Ovis aries: one gene and its partner. The protein of the gene in region 2 interacts with the protein of the main gene of each other region in a biochemical or structural test. Links are inferred from orthologs where the notes say so. Each region holds a gene or a part of one and is shown on either strand. Other genes may lie near its edges.

Region 1 (10,357 bases), on a different chromosome or scaffold from region 2:
GGGAACACTGAGAGAAAACGTAAACATACTCTGAAATGACCAAATGTTAAGACTGAGGCAACAGAAACGTCCCTGGCGGCCCACCGGTCAGGGTTCCATGCTTCCACTGCAGGGGCACAGGGCTGACCCCTGGTCAGGGAGCTAAGATCCCGCAAGCTTCGAGGTGTGGCCAAAAAAACGTTTTTAAAAAGAGAGTGTGGCGAGCACCAAAATAGGAAAACGCTGGGCAACCACTGGGCAATTAAACAACAGTGACAACCCAGGGGCGGGATGAGGTGGGAAGGAGGTTCCGGGAGGCGTGCATACGCATGGCAGAAGCCAAGCCAACACGGCAAAGCAATTACCCTCCAATTAAAAATAAATTAAAATTAAAACCTGAAAAACACCACTGTCCCGAGCTAATATTATCTGAGTTACAACCAACAATAAGATAACAGGTTAGTATAGGCCTGCCAGAGTCAAATACAGATGACACGTGACAGTTGTAACAAGCAGTTAGCTCACTGCAGATACACTTATATTGGAAACGGCTTTTGTGAATTAACGTGTAGATACAATAGGGTAGCTCATTAAAGGGACCCGGTCTAACTCTTCAAAGCAAAGACAAGCACAGGGGCTTCCCTGGGAGTCCCAGCTTCCACACTGCAGGGGGCACAGGGTCCGTCCTCGGTCAGGGAACTCAGATCTTGCAAGCTCAGTGGCCCAGTCAAAAAAAAAAAAAACAGAATATCACACCTTCACTCCTGTAATTTGGTTTGTAAATCCTCAATTTCAAATGTTAAGGAAGTTCACAGGACAGATAAAAAATGGCTAAAATGTGTTGGGAAAAGTGCTTAACCTCACACAGGAGATGAAACTTGAAAGAAGCCCCTTTCATGTATCAGAGCAAAAAGGCAGAGGATTTATTTGTATTATCCAACACTGGTTAAGAGTGAAGAGAAAGTGGTACTCTCACATTGATACAGAAATACAAATTGGAACCTTTCTGGAGAGCAACTTAGCTGTGCTTATTAAAGTTTAAAATGTATCCACACACTTCTAAGTATCTATTGCAGACATGCCTATACTAGAGCCCAAGGATACTGACAGCCTCATTTGCTAAGAACTTAGAAACAATTAAAACGTCCCTCAGTAGGGACAAGTGAGTCAGTTTGATGCTCCACATATGCAGCTACATCAGGCAGAACTGGCGTTCTGAGAGAGAAGCATCTCCCCACATCCGCTGCCTGCTGCTGGAAAAATGCATCAGAGTGATTGAAAATTCAGACCTTTTTAAAAAGTATGTGTAATTTAGTGAATGCATGGATGTCTGAAGTTACGCCTGAGGGGAAAGAAAACAAGGATACAATTTCATTTTTATACAGTGTGTGTACAATCTACGAGCATCGCTTCTATTATAACTGAGGTGAAAGGGGGCGATGCTGACATGAGGCCAGTGACCTGCTAATCCACTAAAAGCTCCACCGACGCTCCCGGGAACCCACGTGGGTCCTGCCGTGGTCAACACACCAGCTCTCCAATTTCAACAACAAAACCTGCAGGTCTGAAAAGGGTCAACCTGGATTCTTTGTAGAAAATGATCATTTTTTAAATGACATACACCCACTTCCTCTTGCGCATTAGTTAGGACATTTAGAAAAGACTTTTCCTTATGAGTTTCCATAGGTCTCCGCCCAAGTACATTACCAAAAATGACAAGAGAAAGAAATCACATTAGCCCAGAGTCACAAGGTTGCATCCTTAAACTCCATGTTCAAAGACTGCAAATGCTGTCTCTGAAGCTCAGATCCACAACTCTGAGAACCGGAAAGAGTCGCATTTCCTTCTGTCTCTGAGACACACGCTCATTCTTTTCCAAAGGACTCTCTGGATTACTCCATGCGACTCTCCAAATAAGTTTACTCAACAGGGGTGTTAAGCACAGTGTGAAGGAAAGTGGAATGCTGATGGGCAATGCCATAAACCAGCTGCAGCTAAAAATGTGCAGAAAACGTATATAAGAAACACATTCTCCAGCGCGTGGAAGGTTTTGAAACGTGACCAGCTTCCTAGCACAATGTTAAAGTCATAAAGAGTACACCCTGCGTATCTCTAATGCGCTTAATATTAAACAGCGTTAGGATAATATTTTCCAGGCTAGAATGTACTTTCCACTTGCCCTAATAAACCGAAGCCCAGATGGGAAATGTAACCAGGACTAAGTAAACACAATATAGACAGTGAGGCGAGCTAATGACCTAGGATGCCTTCACGAGCAATAAAGCATTCAAAAAAAAAAAGTTTCAACAGAGGGTATGAAAAGCTGGGCGTTTGGAGTGTGTGAGATAAATGCACCTTCAGAGAGGAAATGCGTTCCTGTGGATGCAGCCAAGAGTGTCAGATGCTGTCACAACACGGACGTGAGGGAGAGACGTGCCCCATGCAGCAGCCTTTAAAACATGCAGACTTGATTCTGGCTGACAATCCGTCACCGGAACCCCCAGGCATCTTACTAGGGTGCTGTATGGCCCACAGTGAGAAGTCCAGCCCAGTTCCTAGGTAGAAGATGAGCCAGAACAGGAAGAAGAGCCACACAAACACAAAGCGACTCCATTTTTTCTGAACACCCACACAGAGGCAGCAGTTTCTGACAAGAACGTTCTCGGCAAAAAAAAAAAAAAAAAAAAGTTACAGGAAGGTTTTATTCCCCTGAAGAAAAAGGCAGGTCTATACGCAGAGTACCAGAAAATACCAAATGGTGTTCTTCCCCCAGGCCCAAGTTTACAGCCCTCACATTTTGAAAACATCTAAATGTGTTTTTGCTTTTTTATCAAATAAAAGATGACTGGAAACACTGTTCTTGTCTGGAATGCTTACTTCTTGTTGTACTTGAAAATAAAATCCAACATGGCAGCTTACCTTGGCACTGGAAGCCTTGTTTCCCAAACCCCCTGAAAAACAAACAAGAAAAATTTCTTATTTTCTGTTGACACCACATCTTAAGCCAGTTATATGACAAAGCATTCTACAAAGGTAAAGATTTGCACATGAAACCCAATGATTTGACAGGAAAACATGCCTAAACAGCTCAGAGTGTAGTCAAGTCAACTTTGAAAAGATCTGGCCTCCAAAGTCTCACTGAACTCATTTCAACATATTCAAGGTTCTTGCCAGGCTTTTGTTTTTGTTTTTTCTAACATTTTATCAGTACTTAATTTAAGAACATGACTATAAAGTTGTTGGCTACAATATTCAAGCAACAAGAAGAAGTTTATGGTTAAAAAACCAAATCCACAAAGATGGCTGAATTTGGTCCCTAAAGACCAACTGAAAATCTTTTCACCCCAAAAACAAACAAGTGGCTTCCTCATTTGTTATGAAGTATTATCTACCTAGAGATCACCACATAGCATCACTCTTAACACTAAATTTTGGCTTAAAGGAGCCAGATTTTACAGTGTCATCCCTATCGTTTGCATGTGAGATGATGATCTTATTTTACTGTGAACCAACAGCATTCAAGCACATTCAGAAGCTATATTGCTCTTGTAAATTACTTTAGAGAATTTACTCTCTAAGCAGAGAACTCCGACATGGACATTAAATTGCAAACACCATTTCAACTAGGATGAACTACATTAAAATTCTCAGAAGGTTATGAGTCATAATCTCTTGCTTTACATAGCATTTTAAATTTACAAAGCACTTCACATATCTTTATAATTAACTTAGTCACTCCCCACCCCCCCAAAAAATTTAAATGCAAACAGTTTTAAAATACCAGTGCTTTAATATTTGAGTTGTAAACCAGGGAAGCAGAGAAGAGAAGAAAATTGAAAAATTAAAACCACGGCTAGACCGTGCTGGGGAGTATTTTCCTGGAACTTCCGAGGGGTTGCTCTGCAGCCAAGTGGAGAAGAGTATTGACTATGGGGAAGAAGAGGACAAGGTCTTCATTTCCACTTCGTGCTATGCCTGGTGGCCACATCAGTTCACAGGGGCCAACAAATGGCAGCGGGAAGTCTTCAGCAAGCCTGGATGTATAGATTGCAAGCCTCTTTCCTACCTCACCCTCGTCCTGCAAAAGTAATCGGCAGTCTGTTCTGTTTTAATGGAATTTCACAGCTGACACGTGAGGCCGAAGACCTTCCCTTAACTAAATACAATCTCTCTGCCTTGAGGCTCCAAGAACTGACCTTAAGCAGTCTTGTCTACATTGGCCTAGGAGCTCAACCGCTTCAGGCGCTGACTATACCTCGGAAATAATTCGGAGAGGTGGCTGTGCTTTTTACCTAAGTGTGCTTTGGAGCGGATTTCTAAAAAGAAGCGAAGACGTTAAGCACCTTATGAGCACATCTGTGGGGCTTTCCCTTAAAGATTCCCCCAGGTGTGACGGGTTCAGATAGAGCTTAAGGGAGAAGTTAAGTACCTATTAATTAGCACGTTTGCGGGACTCGCCCTTGGAGACGGTTTCCCCGTGTGATGCATTCAAGCAGCGTTCGTTCTCCCAAGAGCCCCGCAAGATCCAGGAGCCACACAGCGGCTGGGCAGTTAGCTGCCCGGCGCCGCTCCCCCCGGCGGAGGGGACTGAAGCAGGCCCAGCCGGCTCCGACTTGGGGGGCCGGGGGCTTCCTGCACACAGCAGCAAGTGACAGAATGCGTGGAGGTTGTCTGGCAACGTAAGAGGAAAAAAGCGAGTGCTTCTCCGAGTGAGGCATCTGAACTGCCCTAGTTTAGCTTTCTTAAAACAACGGGAGGAGAGGGGTCACAACCTTTCGAAAGTCAGTCAAAGTCATCAGCGTCTCCCCAGGAAACAAGCACACGCGCGATCCCCTCCGGCTTGGCGGGATCGGAGGCCCTGCAGCCTGTCCGGCAGCCGCGGCGCGGAAAGCGCGGCCCGGGGGCCCCCGCTGCCTGCAAGTTACCTGGGCTCGGCGGCCGCAGCCCGCCGGCAGCCCCGGGCAGGCCCGGGTCCGCTGCAGAGGCCGCCCGCGCGCCCGCCCCGCCGGCCGGCCGGCCGCCGCCCTCCCCGCGCCCGCCTCAACAGTTTGCCGCCGCTCCCCCCGGCTCGCGGGCCCGGCGCGGGGCGAGGCCGGCGCGCGCGGCGGGGCCCGGGCAGCCTCGGGGGCCGCGCTCCGAGCCTCCGGCCCGGGGAGGCGGCGGCGCCGCGCGGGGCCCCGCCGGGCGCGGGCGCTGCAGGGCCGGCGCGCACCCACCAGATGAAGTCGGTGCAGTGGCTGCAGAAGGTGGGCTGCTTGAAGAAGCGCGCGATGAAGCGGTGGTTCTTCACCTCGTGCACGTTCTTCTGCCTCAGCGCCCCTTTGCGCGCGAAGCGGTTGGCCACGTCCTGCGGCGCCGCCGGCTCGGCGGCCGGGAAGACGTCAGCCATGGTCCCTCGCCGCCTCCGGCCGCGGGGGGCGCGGGCGGCCGGGAGCCGGGCGGGCGCGGAGCGGAGCGGAGCCGCGAGCTCGCTGGGGCCGCTCGGCTCTGACGGCGGCGCCGGCGCTCGCGCTTCCTAGTCGGGCGGCGGGGGCGGCCCGCCCACCGCGCATGCCCGAGCGCGGCCCGGCGGGCGGGGCGGGGGCGCGCGGGAGGGCCGGCGCGGGCGCGCGCAGGGGGCGGGGACGCACGGGAGGGCGGGGGCGCGCGCGGGAGGGCCGGCGCGGGCGCGCGCAGGGGGCGGGGACGCACGGGAGGGCGGGGGCGCGCGCGGAGGGAGCCGGCGGCCCCGCGGCCCCCGAGCCGCCCGGGAAGCGCCCTCTCCCGTTCCCCCGGGTTTGCCGGGCTCCTCCCTCCCGCGCTCCGCTCCTCCCGCCCCAGGCGCAGCCCCGCGTCCCGGGCCGGCCCCCGGCCGCGCCCCCTTCCAGGACCCAGCGCCGTCCCGGGACCGACGCCCGCGCCGCTCGGAGGCTCAGCCCCTCGGGGCCGGCACGCTGTGCCGCCTGCGGCCCCGGAGCCGGGCGGCCCCGCGCCGGGTACACGCGTCTGATGTCTCGGGACGGCTGGAGGACCTGTCCTGGCTGTTCACCCCGTTACCCGTTGGGTACCACGCTTACAGCGTGGGTGATCAGGTCTTCTTGACTTTACCAGCCCAGAGCCTCCATTTAGACACGGTTTTGCAGCCTAAGGCTGATGACCACCGGCAGGTGCCGAGCGCAGCCAGTTCGTTTGCAAACTGCCGAGTGAAACTGCCCCGTGAAAGCGTGGCTGGCACGGCCCGGCGAAGCACGCGCGTGGGGCCGGACCGACTAGTCACTTGCTGAATACTCGTTAGCTCTGCCCCGAGGATGCTAAAATACATGAGGGAAACGTTTCATTATTGTTTTATTTCGTTGTCAGATTCGCTCAGATCAGAAATTAACGCATGTATGGAAAGGAATATGTGGAATTCTTCAAGAAGATAGGAAAAGAACTAGAGATGGAAGGAAGGAAGAAACCTTTCCTAAGATCTATGCTGTCTTATGGTACACAGGCCAAGTAGGGTTCCATTTCTTTTAAGATTGCTCAGTTGAACGCCTGTTGGTAGGAATGTCTTTTGTTTTGACAGGGGTAAGCGATTGACCCGCCCTTAAAGGGCGTGTACTTCCAGCGCTCACTCACAATGTTTCCGACCAATGTTCTTGGAGCTTAAGAACATTGCACCTGCCGGCTAGTCTGGTCAGAAACTTCTCCACTTTTGGCGGGGCCCGAGTGGAAGGGGGCGGGGCTTCCCGGGTGGGACTAGTGGTCAAGAACTCCTGCCAGTGCAGGAGACACAAGAGGCGCAGGTTCCATCCCTGGGTCAGGAAGATCCCCCTGGAGGGGGGCATGGCAACCCGCTCGTGTTTTTGCCAGGAGAATCTCAGGGACAGGATCCTGGCGGGCTACAGTCCATGGGATCGCAGAGTCGAACGCGACTGAAGTGAAGCAGCGTGCACGCCAGTTCAAGGAAGCAAAAAAAAGAAGATGCAAGGGAAGGAATGAAAAGCAGGGAACGTAGGAAAATAGAACAAGCTCTCCGAAAAACACTATTACCGTCTCAAGCACGGTCGTGTATTGCTTAATGCTTGTAAGTTACATGGGAAAATCACGGGACTTGTAATTGATGGTAGAAAGAAACACAAATTCTTGCCTCAAAACCACCTGGATCTAAGACAGGCCATCACCCCTTGTATGAAGACAAGCTTCTTTCTGTTTCCCTGAAGTTCTGAGGTAAAGGTGGAAGAAAGAGATGGGAGAGCTTGGAGGAGGGGCAGTAGGTGAGAGTGATGTCTGAGCAGAGGGAGCGGGAGGCGAGAGAAGAACCGAAACGGCCTTGCAGGGAGGGGAGCCCGCTCTCGGGGGTGGAGAGACCAGAGACAGTCTCTCATTTCTTTCGGGCTGTAGTTTTGCTTTCTTGCCTCCATTATTACTGTTGGTCCCTGTGAGTAGGGAGAGAACAAACTGAAGTTACTTGAGTGATGACAGCGCACGTGATCAGTTGCCTACAGCTGAGCTCAGTTGCGGGGCGGCTTCGGGATGCACCTGCGGGGGGCGGGTCCTTGAGCTGTGCAGCGCCACCCCAGCAAGGAGCAGGGGCGGGCCACACAAGGCCCTGAAACCCAGCCGGGCCCTGCGGGGCTCCTGGGCGCCTAGGCCCTTCTGGTCCCCATTTCTTGGTTACAGGAAAGAGGCTTCATTCAGCCCGAATGACCTTCCCTGAGCTCCAACAGGTAAGTTCAAATAAATGCTGATTAGGGAAGGGAAGGGAGAAGGAAATGGCAACCCACTCCAGTGTTCTTGCCTGGAGAGTCCCAGGGACGAGGGAGCCTCATGGGCTGCCGTCTATGGGGTCGCACAGAGTTGGACACGACTAAAGCGACTTAGCAGCAGCAGCAGGGAAGGGAGGGGGTGTAGAAACAAGGGAGGAAGCCTAGAGAAGCAGAGCAGCTGTGGGGCAGGGTCTCTGTCCCCCCCACCCTCAAGGGTTACCCAGAACACTATCTTTGAGCTGGTTTGAAGGTGCGGAAACCCCCACCAGGTGGGAGAAGTTATCCGTATGCTACCTGCAAGCACTTAGATCCCAGACCGGTTAGAACCAGAAGGTTGATGGTGTTGCTGGCCCAAATCTTGGCTTTCTCTGCCCACCAAAGCTGAATGAAAAAATATGGAGACAAAGTTTGGAGGAAATAGAAAGGTGGCTTCAATCCTCAGCTGCAGAGAGGGCAACACGGTAGGCTCGTGGCTCAAGAACTGTGCCCCCCATGAGGAGCCCAGGGGCTTCCATGAAAATAGGGCTTGCAGTAGCTAGCTTCTCCCCTCCCTTCCCTAGTCAGCATCTATTTGAACTTACCTGTTGGAGCTCAGGGAAGGTCATTCGGGCTGAATGAAGCCTCTTTCCTGTAACCAAGAAATGGGGACCAGAAGGGCTTAGGCGCCCAGCTGTAGGAGTAAAGGTGTTTGGCTCTTGATGTCTTCATGTTGCGTTGTTTCACAGGCCGGCATCAGTAGCCCGATAGTTGGGTCTGGCTGTCCGGCGGCTCTGTGGCCTTCTTTCTGATGTGCAGCTACAAGGGGACGGGTGTTGTAAGGATAAACACTGGGGATGCAGAAAAGTAAAGCTAGATACAGACATGCAGAGTTAGCAGTTAAAGTAAAAAAAAAAAACAACTAGGAGTGTTCAGGCCTCTTTATCTATGTCTTCTCTTTATCTTCTTTGCTCTCAGGATCGGGAAAGTGAAAGCTGCTTCCTCTTTTTACTCTGTCTCTGCAACAATGGTTCCGACTCCTGGTCACCCCAGCACCAGTCCATCAGAAGGATGCCTGCAGGCTGATCGCGCCCTCTGTGAGCCGTTACTATAAAGCTCCCCCCCCGCCCCTTCCAGGTCTTACACCATTTCTGAGGGCACGAGGCCACTGTGGCACCCTCTGCCTGGCAAAGCGATGAAACTGCCCTGCATCACCCCAGGCTCTGTCTCTGAGATTTAATTCCGTGGCCGGTACAGAGACCAGATTCGGATTCAGCCCCTGCAGCCCACCTGGCAGGGTGTCCATGGGGCCACTAAAAGGGAAGGGTTTCCAGAAAGAGAGAGCCCGGTGCAGGGGGAGTGTCAGTGAGACGTGGTGGTAGTGATGAGTTTAGAGTCTGCTGTTTTCCTGGGGAAGGCGCGGGAGAGCAGGGACGCTAGACTGAATGTGGGGTTTGTGAGAACCCTCCTCTGTGATCCCTGACTCTGAGGAGTAAGCTTGACACTCTTTGCAGAGGTGCTGCCTGGACCAGACTCTTGGAAAGCATCAAAGAAAACTATCATCAAGCCCTGAGTGAATATGCTGCGTCTTAAGGCATCCGTGGCTCCCTGGTGAGTGAAGGGAGCAGGATGTGGAACAGTGCTCAGAGATGCCGGTCCTGGATGTCTGGGCGCCCACATCTGGGCTTCCCGGGCGGCTCAGTGGTAGAGAACCCGCATGCCAGTGCAGGAGGTGTGGCTCTACCCCTGAGACAGGAAGAGCCCCTGGACTAGGAAATGGGAACCCGCTCCAGGATTCTTGCCTGGAGAATTCCACGCACAGAGGGGCCTGGTGGGCCGCAGTGCACAGTGCCTGCCACAGCGCATGGGCTTGCAAGAGTCAGGCATGACGAAGTGACCGAGCGCACATGCAGAGCCACGTCCGTATGCTCCACACATGCTTGTGCGTGTACACACAGATGTACACGGGGCACCACGTCTGTATGCTCTAAATATGCTTGTTTGTGTACACACAGGTGAATACTGGGGCACCCCGTGTGCACCCTCTAAATAAGCTTTTGCGTGTACACACAGGTGTATACAGGGACATACATGGCAAATGTTCATTTAAGTCACTCTCTCTGGGTGGCTGGGTTATAAACACTCTTCTGATCAGGAAGAGAAGTCTTCTGCCCAGGACTCATGTTTTGAAAGGGCATTGAAAGTCACATTTCTAATGTCACCAAAAGAAGGTATTTATTACTTTTAACACAAAAAGTTTTCTGCCAGAATTTTTTTGTTGTTGCGTGGAGTAGAGACAGTACTGATTTGGATGTGGAATGTTTGAGAAGTGTTTCCAGCCAGTGACCCTCAGCTCTTCTGCAGCCCCGGTCCAGTGCTAGAAGCTGAATTCCTGAGTGGACTGCCCGGGGACACTTCTAGGTGTCCAGGATTTCTGCCTCCTCCACAAAGCATTTTTCCTCCACTTTCTCCCAGTTTTCCTACAGCAGACATGACACAAACCAGACAGAGGATCAGAAAACCTGTGTTGGAATCCAAGCTTCAACACTGATTGATTTGTGTCATTGGGGTAAATTAGCTTCTCCAAGTCTCTCTGCATCTAAAAATGGAGATACTCGCAACTACCCTAGGATTTCCTTAGAAATTTAGCCAGATGACACATAATATAAATG
Region 2 (10,393 bases):
ACTGTCCTGACCCAAGGATCCAACCTCAAGTCTGAATTCTTACCTGGGAAGCCAAACTAGTAGGCAGTAAATAGCATATAACTGAAGTTAAATAATATATATGGGCTTCCCGGGTGGCTAAGTGGAATTGGCCTGCATTGCAAGAAATGCTGGTCTGATTCCTGGGTCAGGAAGATTTCCCTAAGAAGGAAATGGCAACCCACTCGGGCTCTTGCCTGGAAAATCCTATGGACAGATAATCCTGGCGGCCTACAGTCCATTTAGTCACAAAACAGTGGGAAACAACTTAACGACTAAAGGACCACCGCTGGGAGATTGAACCTCCTGCTGGGAGAAACAGTGGAAACAGTGGCTGACTCTATTTTGGGGGGCTCCAAAATCACTGCAGATGGTGATTGCGGTCATGAAATTAAAAAACACTCCTTGGAAGGAAAGTTATGACCAACTTAGACAACATATTAAAAAGCAGAGACATTACTTTGTCCACAAGGGTTGGTCTAGTCAAGGCTATGGTTTTTCCAGTAGTCATGTATGGATGTGAGACTTGGCCTATAAAGAAAGCTGAGTGCCAAAGAACTGATGCTTTTGAAGACTCTTGAGAGTTCCTTGGACTGCAAGGAGATCCAACCAGTCCATTCTAAAGGAGATCAGTTCAGGGTGTTCTTTGGATGGAATGATGCTAAAGCTGAAACTCCAATACTTTGGCCACCTGATGCAAAGAGCTGACTCATTTGAAAAGACTCTGATGGTGGGAAAGATTGAAGGCAGGAAGAGAAGGGGACGACAGAGGATGAGATGGTTGGATGGCATCATCAACTCAATGGACATGGGTTTGGGTAGACTCCAGCAGTTGATGACGGACAGGGAGGCCTGGAGTGCTGCTGTTCATGGGGTCGCAGAGTCGGACAAGACACTGAACTAACTGAACTGGGAGAAAATATGCCATCCTGCTACTCTCCAGGTTTCAAAGACTGCCTTTTCATTTAGAATTTCTCCCTTATTACAAGGTAAAGAAGAAATGAGTGAAATGAACTGTTGGGCTGACTCAGAGAAGAAACTGACATGTTCTTGATTTTTCCATTATAGAATCTGACCATGGAAAAAAGTGAAGAGTGGTGCCGTTACCAAAAGGGGTGAAACATTTAAATTTAAGAACATGATGCAGCACCAAACTACGTGAAAAATCTAAAGGTAGGACAACCTGCTTCTATGCATGCTCAATCAGTAAGTCGTGTCCAACTCTGTGACCCCCATGGACTGCTCTATCCATAGGATTCTCCAGGCAACAATACTGGAGTGGGGTGCCATGCCCTTTTCCAGCGGATCCTTCCAACTAAGGGATCGAACCTGCATCTCCCTGCGGCTCCTGCATTACAGGTAGATTCTTCGCCGCTGAGCCACCGGAGAAGCCCAATACGGCTTTTACCTACTTCTAAAGTTAGGTAAACTAAGTGCCAGTTCTCTTTGGAAACCGTGAATGGCTCTGAAAAGAGCCTTTGGAAGTGTTTGGGGTCTGATCAAGAAGTCAGTGGCTCACTTGGAGCTGGTATACTTGGTGACGGCCTTGGTGCCCTCAGACACGGCGTGCTTGGCCAGTTCTCCGGGAAGCAGCAGGCGCACAGCCGTCTGGATCTCCCTGGATGTGATGGTCGAGCGCTTGTTGTAATGAGCCAGGCGCGACGCCTCGCCCGCGATGCGCTCGAAAATATCGTTCACGAACGAATTCATGATGCCCATGGCCTTGGACGAGATGCCGGTGTCCGGGTGGACCTGCTTCAGCACCTTGTACACGTACACGGAGTAGCTCTCCTTGCGGCTGCGCTTGCGCTTCTTGCCGTCCTTCTTCTGCGCCTTGGTCACCGCCTTCTTGGAGCCCTTCTTCGGGGCCGGAGCGGACTTGGCTGGCTCAGGCATGACTGACGATAATTACAAGATCGCAGAAAAAAAGTGAAGGATCTCTCAGCGCGTCTATTTTATCATGCAATATGCAAATTAGATTTAGTACCGTTCTGTGTCTGATTGGTGAATACTCGTAGTGACATCACATTCAATTTTATCCAATGAAAACGCTCATTTTAAGGACCTACACTTTACTCTGCAACTTTAACTGCAACTTTACCCAATGGAATAGCTTCTTTTTCGCGCCCAACTGCAGCTATAAAATGTGCAGTTTTCTTTTACTTTAGTCTCTTCGGGTGTAGTCTTGAAGAGTTGTAGTATGTCTGGACGTGGTAAACAGGGCGGCAAAGCTCGCGCCAAGGCCAAAACCCGCTCCTCGCGGGCCGGGCTCCAGTTCCCGGTAGGCCGAGTGCACCGGCTGCTCCGCAAAGGAAACTACGCCGAGCGGGTCGGGGCCGGGGCCCCGGTGTACCTGGCGGCGGTGCTGGAATACCTGACAGCCGAGATCCTGGAGCTGGCAGGCAACGCAGCCCGGGACAACAAGAAGACACGCATCATCCCGCGTCACCTGCAGCTGGCCATCCGCAACGACGAGGAGCTCAACAAGCTGCTGGGTAAAGTCACCATCGCTCAGGGTGGTGTCCTGCCCAACATCCAGGCGGTGCTGCTGCCCAAGAAGACCGAGAGCCATCACAAGGCCAAGGGCAAGTGAGGGGTCAAGAGCCACGCCTTCCAAACCAAAGGCTCTTTTCAGAGCCACCTACTTTTTCTGCTGAGGAGCTGGGACAGTAGTATTAATTAACCTTAGCCTGCCAAGTTGCTTCGGTCGTGTCTGACTCTGCGACCCCATAAATGGGCAACCCACCAGGCGGGCCTTTCCTTGGGATTATCCTGGCAAGAACACTAGATGTTACTTACCATGAAAGTGAAAAGCGCGACCCCATGCACTGCATGCAGTCCAAGACGCCCTTACTCAAGAGTTAAGTAAGTTCTATGATTTTATTGGTAGGGGGAAAATGGATTAACGGGAAGGAATATTGGCGGTAAGGAATATTGGCTTGGAGAGCGACTAGAAAATAGATCAAAGTGCACAGCTGTTTCCAGAGATCTCTGGGTGGCTCTGAAAAGAGCCTTTGGGGTTTGCTTCTCAAGCGCCAACTTTCTACTTCTTCTTAGGAGCCGCCTTCTTCGCCTTTGCAGCTTTGGGTTTTGCTGCCTTAGGCTTGGAGGTTTTGGGTTTCGCCGCCTTTGGCTTCACTGCCTTGGGCTTCGCGGGGCTTTTAGCAGCCTTCTTTGGCTTTGCCGCTGTTTTGGCCTTCTTGGGGCTCTTGGCCACTTTTTTGACACCAGAGGCCGCGGGCTTTTTCGCCTTCTTAGGCGTCTTCTTAACGGCTTTTTTCGCTCCCGCAGCCTTCTTGGGTTTCTTAGGGGTGGCCCCTGCGGGTTTCTTCGCTTTCGCAGCCCCCGCCTTCTTGGTTTTGGGCTTGGCTTCCCCAGCAGCCGCCTTCTTGTTGAGCTTGAAAGAGCCGGAAGCCCCGGTGCCCTTGGTCTGCACCAGTGTGCCCTTGCTCACTAGGCTCTTGAGACCCAGCTTGATGCGGCTATTGTTCTTCTCCACATCGTAGCCCCCGGCTGCCAGCGCTTTCTTGAGCGCAGCCAAAGAAAGGCCATTGCGCTCTTTGGAGGCGGCGACAGCCTTAGTGATCAGCTCGGAAACTGGGGGCCCGGTAGCCTTGCGCTTCGCCGCTCCACCGCTCGCGGTCTTCTTGGTTGTTTTCTTCTTGGCAGGAGACTTCTCCACCGGCGCCGGGGCGGCCGTCTCAGCAGGAGCGGTTTCCGACATTGCGATGGGAGAACCTGCTAGAAGCAGAGAGACTCAAATTCCAAAGAGCAAGTTTTGCAATGCTGTCTTGCGCCGGCCCGGGTTTATATAAGTCGGTGCTGCCCTGTGATTGGTGGAACGTCCGATCCACCGCCCTCAGGCAGCCGCCTGTCGTGGTTGGACTCCCAAACTGTGTTTGTTAGTCCCCAAAATTTGATTAAATGTTAAAAACAGTGGTACAGAATTTGACTCTTTGAAGCTTCAGAGGAGGAAAACAGCCTCCAAGGTCACATACTTGTTTGTGTTTTTATGACTCACGCGCAGTTAATGAAAGATATTTTTAAAAATCCCTTCAGCTTTTCCTATAGATTCACCGGACGTAAGGCATCGAGCTACGTAGTTGCATATTGCAATAAAGTTTTAGTTAAGTATCAAGTGAATGTTTTTTAAAAGGCATTGTCGCCAAGTTCGGCCTTCGATTTTTGCAAGAGGAAAGACACTAGGTTCCTTGGTTTTGCTTAAACTTTGCTTCGAACGGCAGCAAGTAACACAGGTGCAGGATGGCCAGTTGCCTACAGCCACAAATTAAGCATATAGATTTTACTTTAAAAATCGGTTTTGTCTTCCACGGAGTTTCCAGATGCCATTGTTTTTAGAGAATGGGATTTCGCGGCTCGGACTAGTTCTGTAGTCAAAGTGACTTCTTCCATGAGGAATAGAAATTGCTTTGGCTTCAGAATCCAATGACCTGTCTTCAAATTCAAACAAATTTAGTCTGTTTTTGATTGAGAAGCTTTCTCCCTTTAATTTGTAAGCAAATCCATTAAAATGAGAAAGAAAATTTCTTAACCCAGAAATGTATTTTAGAAAAAAAACCCCTCTGAAATCGGCTAAAAATTATTCAAGGGCTTCCAGCAACAGCGGAAAGGCTGTTTAGATGGCATGGGTCTCTCTCCCTCTCTTAGAAGCTGTTTTCCTCCTTTGGAGCTTCAGCACTTTCCACTGCTCTCCCTCAAACTCCATTTCCACCAACATTTAACAAATTGAATGGTCAGGAACACCTTCTTTTGTAGGACCTCAGTGTGGATATTTCTGTATATTTAATGAAGATAGACCTGTATCTTTCAGTGAAATAATTGGCTTCTGACTATAAGTGTGGGTTGGATAGTAAGGGAGTGAGTGGAGGTTATATAAGTTCAAGAGAATTCAGGAAAACATTAACATCCAAGGGCCCTGAGGCAGTAACTTTGAGGTGAAATGGAGGGTGATGTTTGTTATTTTGGGGGAGGAGGAAGCTTGGAGAGGATTTTGTCCCTGGATGCAATGATGATTAGGGTCTCTCATACAGTCAACAGTCAGTTCTTGTGAAAACCTGTAGGCTGACACTTCATGTCTTCAGGGGTTCCTGGAGTTGAAACTATAGCCTCTTATGGCCAAATCTTATTTGGCTTATTTTTGTATGGTCAAGGTAAGTTTCTGTATTTTTAAGAATATCTTTAAGATGTGACAGAGACTATATGTTACCTGCAAAACCTAAAATATTTACTTTATGGCTTTCACGGTTTGAATTCCTCCTCAGATAGTTCATGTTTTTCTTACAGGTCTGCCTTTTTCAGAATTATGCAAACCCAGATCTAAAGAAAAGGAGATCTTAAGAAAATGATTCAATCAAGCATTTCCCACTGTTTCAATCACAAAACTTTCAGAAAACTTGGGAAGGCTGGGAGGGGAGGGGGCGGTGGCGGTGTCTGCTTTACAAAAGAAGGGCATAATATAGCTAACATTCATTGAGCATTTAGTGCCAGGAACGTCTTAGTATGGTCTACAAACTAATTCATTTGCCACATTTTACAGCTGTTGTAGGTGAGTCGCAGAGAGCTGAGTAATTGGGCAACTGGCTGCTGTGAACCTCGACCAATATTTCTTCCTGCAACAGGGAGACAGGAGACACATTATCTTAAGTTGTATGGCACTTGGCAAAAGGTGGGGGAAAGGCGCTTCGTTTGTCATTACAGAACTATCCACAGGAAGCACTAATTAAGAAGTAATGGACCACTTTCAGTCACTTCCTTTAGCCAAGGATTAAATATTCTCTTTAAAAAAATGCTTCCCCGAGAAACAGTTCAATAGACTGATTCGGAGCCCAGGATACAGCCACTTCTGCATAGTATTGCCGTGGCAGTAATATTTGGGTCCACGATACGTTCCATTTAAAACTCATGGCGTTTTTCATTTGCTGGTAATTATGTATACTCGACAATGAACAGCTCCCTTTTGGTGACAATTGAGGGGCTCTTAAAAGAGCCTTTGGTGGTATGTGTTACTTGGAGGAGCCACTAAATTTATGCTCTCTCCCCACGGATGCGGCGGGCAAGCTGGATGTCCTTGGGCATGATGGTGACGCGCTTGGCGTGGATGGCACACAGGTTGGTGTCCTCGAAGAGCCCCACCAGATAGGCCTCGCACGCCTCCTGCAGCGCCATCACGGCTGAGCTCTGGAAGCGCAGGTCAGTCTTGAAGTCTTGCGCGATCTCGCGCACCAGCCGCTGGAACGGCAGCTTGCGGATCAGCAGCTCCGTGGACTTCTGGTAACGGCGGATCTCGCGCAGAGCTACCGTGCCGGGCCGGTAGCGGTGCGGCTTCTTCACGCCGCCGGTGGCCGGCGCGCTCTTGCGAGCCGCCTTGGTGGCGAGCTGTTTGCGCGGCGCCTTGCCGCCGGTGGACTTGCGAGCCGTCTGCTTAGTGCGAGCCATTGGTAAGTAGTGCCAACTACCTAACAGTGATGTGAGCACTCGGTCTTCCCAAAATATATAGCGAACCTCGCATCTTGATTGGACAATAAACTGCTGCTCCCTCGCCTACCCCGCCCTTCCACGCCCATTCTTTCTGGGTTTAGGAAGCATTGTCCCGCCTCTTCTTCGGACTCTAGGATTACGTGGTGAGATAGGAAATATCTTGTTGGCTTTTTAAAGAAGCCTGCAGGATGTATCCAAATTCTTAAATTCGTCATCTAGAGTAGGGGTCCCCAACCTCCGGGATCTAACTGTCTGGTGATCTGAGGTGGAACTGATGAAATAAAAGTAAGAATAAAGTGTGCTAGTCTCTCAGTGTCCGAATCTGTGATCCCATGGACTGTAGGCTACCAGCCTCCTCTGTCCATGGGATTTTCCAGGTAAGAATACTCAAGTGGTTTGCCGTTTCCTACTCCAGAGAAATAAAGTGCACAATAAATAGTCGTCGCTCTTCAGTTGCTCAGCCGTGTCCCTACTCTTTGCGACCCCATGGACTACAGCATGCCAGGGTTCACAGTTCTTCACTATCCCTTGGAGTTTGCTCAAACTCATGTCCGAGTCAGTGATACTATCTCATCTTCTGTCTCCCCCTTCACCTCCTGCCCTCAATCTTTCTCAGCATCAGGATATTTTCCGATGAGTGGGCTCTTCGCATGACGCGGCCAAACTATTGGAGCTTCTAACATGGCTTAAATCATCCCGAAACCATCCACCACCCAGGCGCGTCGAAAACTGTCTTCCACAAAACCGGTCGCTGCCGCCAAAAAGGTTGGGGACAGCTAATCTAGAGAACCTTGCATTATTTTAGATATAAGCTGTCATGATTTGACAAGCTTCAATAACATGAAACGAGTGTTTAAGTGGAGGCAAGTTAAAGTCAATCCAGTCACCACGTTCTGTTCCAGAACTCTGTAATAGCTAACTAAAACGAAGCTTGGTTACCTTTTCCCCTTAATACTTCATATTTGTTATTGCTAGCCTTACTGCTCGGTGAGCTATTTACCCTTAAAGTGTGAGCAGTGAACACAAAGACCATTTTGCCTGGCTTACAAGAAACGACATCAAACGAAAATCTGCCACTGCTGGTGATGGAAATACTGACGAAGGACTGGAGGTTGTGACCATACGCAAATTATACGAGACCTTAATCTTTCCCACACAACCTAACGACTTTAGCGCCCACAGCTCTTTACCAGACTTAGTGGGTGGCCCTAAGAAGGGCCTTTAAAGTATGACAGTTAAACGCAGCTTTAACCGCCGAAGCCGTAAAGGGTACGTCCCTGACGTTTCAGCGCATAGACCACATCCATGGCGGTGACAGTTTTGCGCTTGGCATGCTCGGTGTATGTGACCGCGTCCCGAATCACATTTTCCAGGAACACCTTTAGCACCCCACGAGTCTCCTCGTAGATGAGACCAGAGATCCGCTTCACGCCACCACGACGAGCCAGACGACGAATAGCGGGCTTGGTAATGCCCTGGATGTTGTCGCGAAGAACCTTGCGGTGGCGCTTAGCACCCCCCTTTCCGAGGCCCTTACCGCCCTTGCCGCGTCCAGACATATCCGCAACCACACTCGCTACGGCGCTATAGTTCCCCAAGGCCGTGTTTTATATAGTGATGTTTCGGACCTGATTGGGAACCGCTCAGACCAGCCGTGACGCCTCTGGGAGTTTCCAGACCTGAAGCCCGGCCCACGTTTTCCGCAAAATGGAGAGGCGCTTAAAATAGAGTCAGAAAATGGTCCTAATAAAATCCCTCTCTTCAGCTTCTACAATACATTGTGTTGCCCGTGCCCACAACTGGAAAACCATTCCTTTGTTTGAGTTAGGACTTGCTGCCCTTTTCTCTTTATGCTTTCTCTTGGGCATTGATCGTACTAGCGAGTTGTGGCTTCCGGAATGAATGGCCCATCTCGAGAGCCGTGATTGTAGTCTTTTGGGGGTTTTTGTGAAACCTCGTGGCTGAGAGCCTGATTATAGATAACTTCAGGATGGGCTTCCTCATCGTTCTCAGCAGTGGTCTCCCCTTTTCCTTTTCTTTTACTCATCCTATCATCTTCCTTTCTCTTCCCTCACTAGCTGCCACATTTTTGCTGGTAGAACTGTTTTTTTTTTTTTTTTTCAAATGTTTTTCGTTTCACTTAAAAACACTTCAGGAAATTGAGGAAGCTCAGTTTTTACCCGCCGTTTCCTCTGGCGAGTCCATGAGTAAATGAAAATCCTCTCAGGGACTCCTTTCCTGTCCTCCCCCTACCTTCTACTCACCCCCCCCCCCCCCCCACCCCCGCCATCACCACCTTCCTCTATCTCTCTTTTCTTGAATTGAGAAATCAAGTGCACCCCAAAATTCTGTGCCTTTAATAGTGTCTTTAATAAAGCGCTGAATGTAAAGACCAGGAACGATTTTATTCCAGGAATTTAAAAAATAAAAAACTTTCAAATGTTTCCTTGACTCCTGGCTATTTGAAATGACCTTTCGAGCCCTGGCTTGTCTGTAGCAGATTTCATTTCTCCGAGAAAATGCCTTCTCTAACGCATAACACATTTACTTTTTCTCTTTTTCCGAGCTTCAGAAATGTTTACCTTTTCTCTTTTAAATATGTGTGGTTGATTATTTACTACTTGAACAAATACCTAATATTATTCTCCAAATTTACTTTATAATCTCTGTAAATACTATATGTGCAAAAGATTGCATGCCCATCTTCTATTAGTTAATCCATTTCTTATTGAGTTACTTGTCTGGCTTTCTTCTTCTTCCTGCTCCTGTTTACTAATGGAATCTGAGTGCTTAACCTTGAAGATGTTATTGGGTGGGTAATCTCAACAATCCTCTTGCCTTGCAACTACAGAAAAACCAGGCAGCTTTCTGCCTTGTTACCTAGCAGTTGTTGAAGAGGGTGTTTGCTATGACCAGTGCATTATCTTGGCAAAATTTTGTTAGCCTCTGACCTGCTTTGTTTCATACTCCAAGGCCAAATTTGCCTGTTACTCCAGGTATCTCTTGACTTCCTACTTTCACATTCCAGTCCGCTATAATGAAAAGAACATCTTTGGGGGGTGTTAGTTCTAAAAGGTCTTGTAGGTCTTCACAGAACCGTTCAACTTCAGCTTCTTCAGCATTACTGGTAGGGGCACAGACTTGGATTACTGTGATATTGAATGGTTTGCCTTGGAAATGAACACATATCATTTTGTTGTTTTTCAGATTGCATCCAAGTACTGCATTTTGGACTCTTGTTTACTGTGATGGCTACTCCATTTCTTCTAAGGGATTCTTGTTCACAGTAGTAGACATAATGGTCATCTGAGTTAAATTCACTCATTCCAGTCCATTTTAGTTCACTGATTCCTAAAATGTCTACATTCACTCTTGCCATCTCCTTTTTGACCAGTTCCAATTTGCCTTGATTTGGAATTTAACATTCCAGGTTCCTATGCAATATTGCTCTTTACAACATTGGACTTTACTTCCATCACCAGTCACATCCACAACCGGGTGTTGTTTTTGCATTGGCTCTGTCTCTTTATTCTTTCTGGAGTTATTTCTCCACTGATCTCCAGTAGCATATTGGCCACCTACCTGACCTGGGGAGTTCATCTTTCAGTGTCCTATCTTTTTGCCTTTTCATACTGTTCATGGGGTTCTCAAGGCAAGAATACTGAAGTAGCTTGCCATTACCTTCTCCAGTGGACCACGTTTTGTCAGAACTCTCCACCATGTCTTGTCTATCTTGGGTGGCCCTACATGACATGGCTTTATAGTTTCATTGAGTTAGACAAGGCTGTGGTCCATGTGATCAGATTGGTTAGTTTTCTGTGACCGTGGTTTTTTCATTGTCTTGTCCCTCTGATAGATAAGGATAAGAGGCTTATGG

The links.
Region 1: of the proteins of H1-5 (region 2) and PRKCA, one has a biochemical effect on the other in vitro, tested with the Homo sapiens proteins (2 studies listed by BioGRID). The link is inferred for Ovis aries from reciprocal best matches to the Homo sapiens genes H1-5 and PRKCA.

What each region holds. Positions count from the first base shown.
Region 1 is NC_056064.1:61,840,557-61,850,913, reverse strand, and holds the start of PRKCA (protein kinase C alpha type), read right to left. Parts: upstream 5,472-10,357; 5' UTR 5,369-5,471; coding exon 5,196-5,368; intron 2,931-5,195; coding exon 2,899-2,930; intron 1-2,898. UniProt on the Homo sapiens protein: Calcium-activated, phospholipid- and diacylglycerol (DAG)-dependent serine/threonine-protein kinase that is involved in positive and negative regulation of cell proliferation, apoptosis, differentiation, migration and adhesion, tumorigenesis, cardiac hypertrophy, angiogenesis, platelet function and inflammation, by directly phosphorylating targets such as RAF1, BCL2, CSPG4, TNNT2/CTNT, or activating signaling cascade involving MAPK1/3 (ERK1/2) and RAP1GAP.
Region 2 is NC_056073.1:29,962,632-29,973,024, reverse strand, and holds H1-5 (histone H1.5), read right to left. Parts: upstream 6,135-10,393; 5' UTR 3,743-6,134; coding exon 3,062-3,742; 3' UTR 2,885-3,061; downstream 1-2,884. Other genes in the region: histone H2B type 1-C/E/F/G/I, read right to left, coding at 1,534-1,914; histone H2A type 1, read left to right, coding at 2,219-2,611; uncharacterized protein LOC101120961, read right to left, coding at 6,135-6,518, 7,790-8,075. UniProt on the Homo sapiens protein: Histone H1 protein binds to linker DNA between nucleosomes forming the macromolecular structure known as the chromatin fiber. Histones H1 are necessary for the condensation of nucleosome chains into higher-order structured fibers.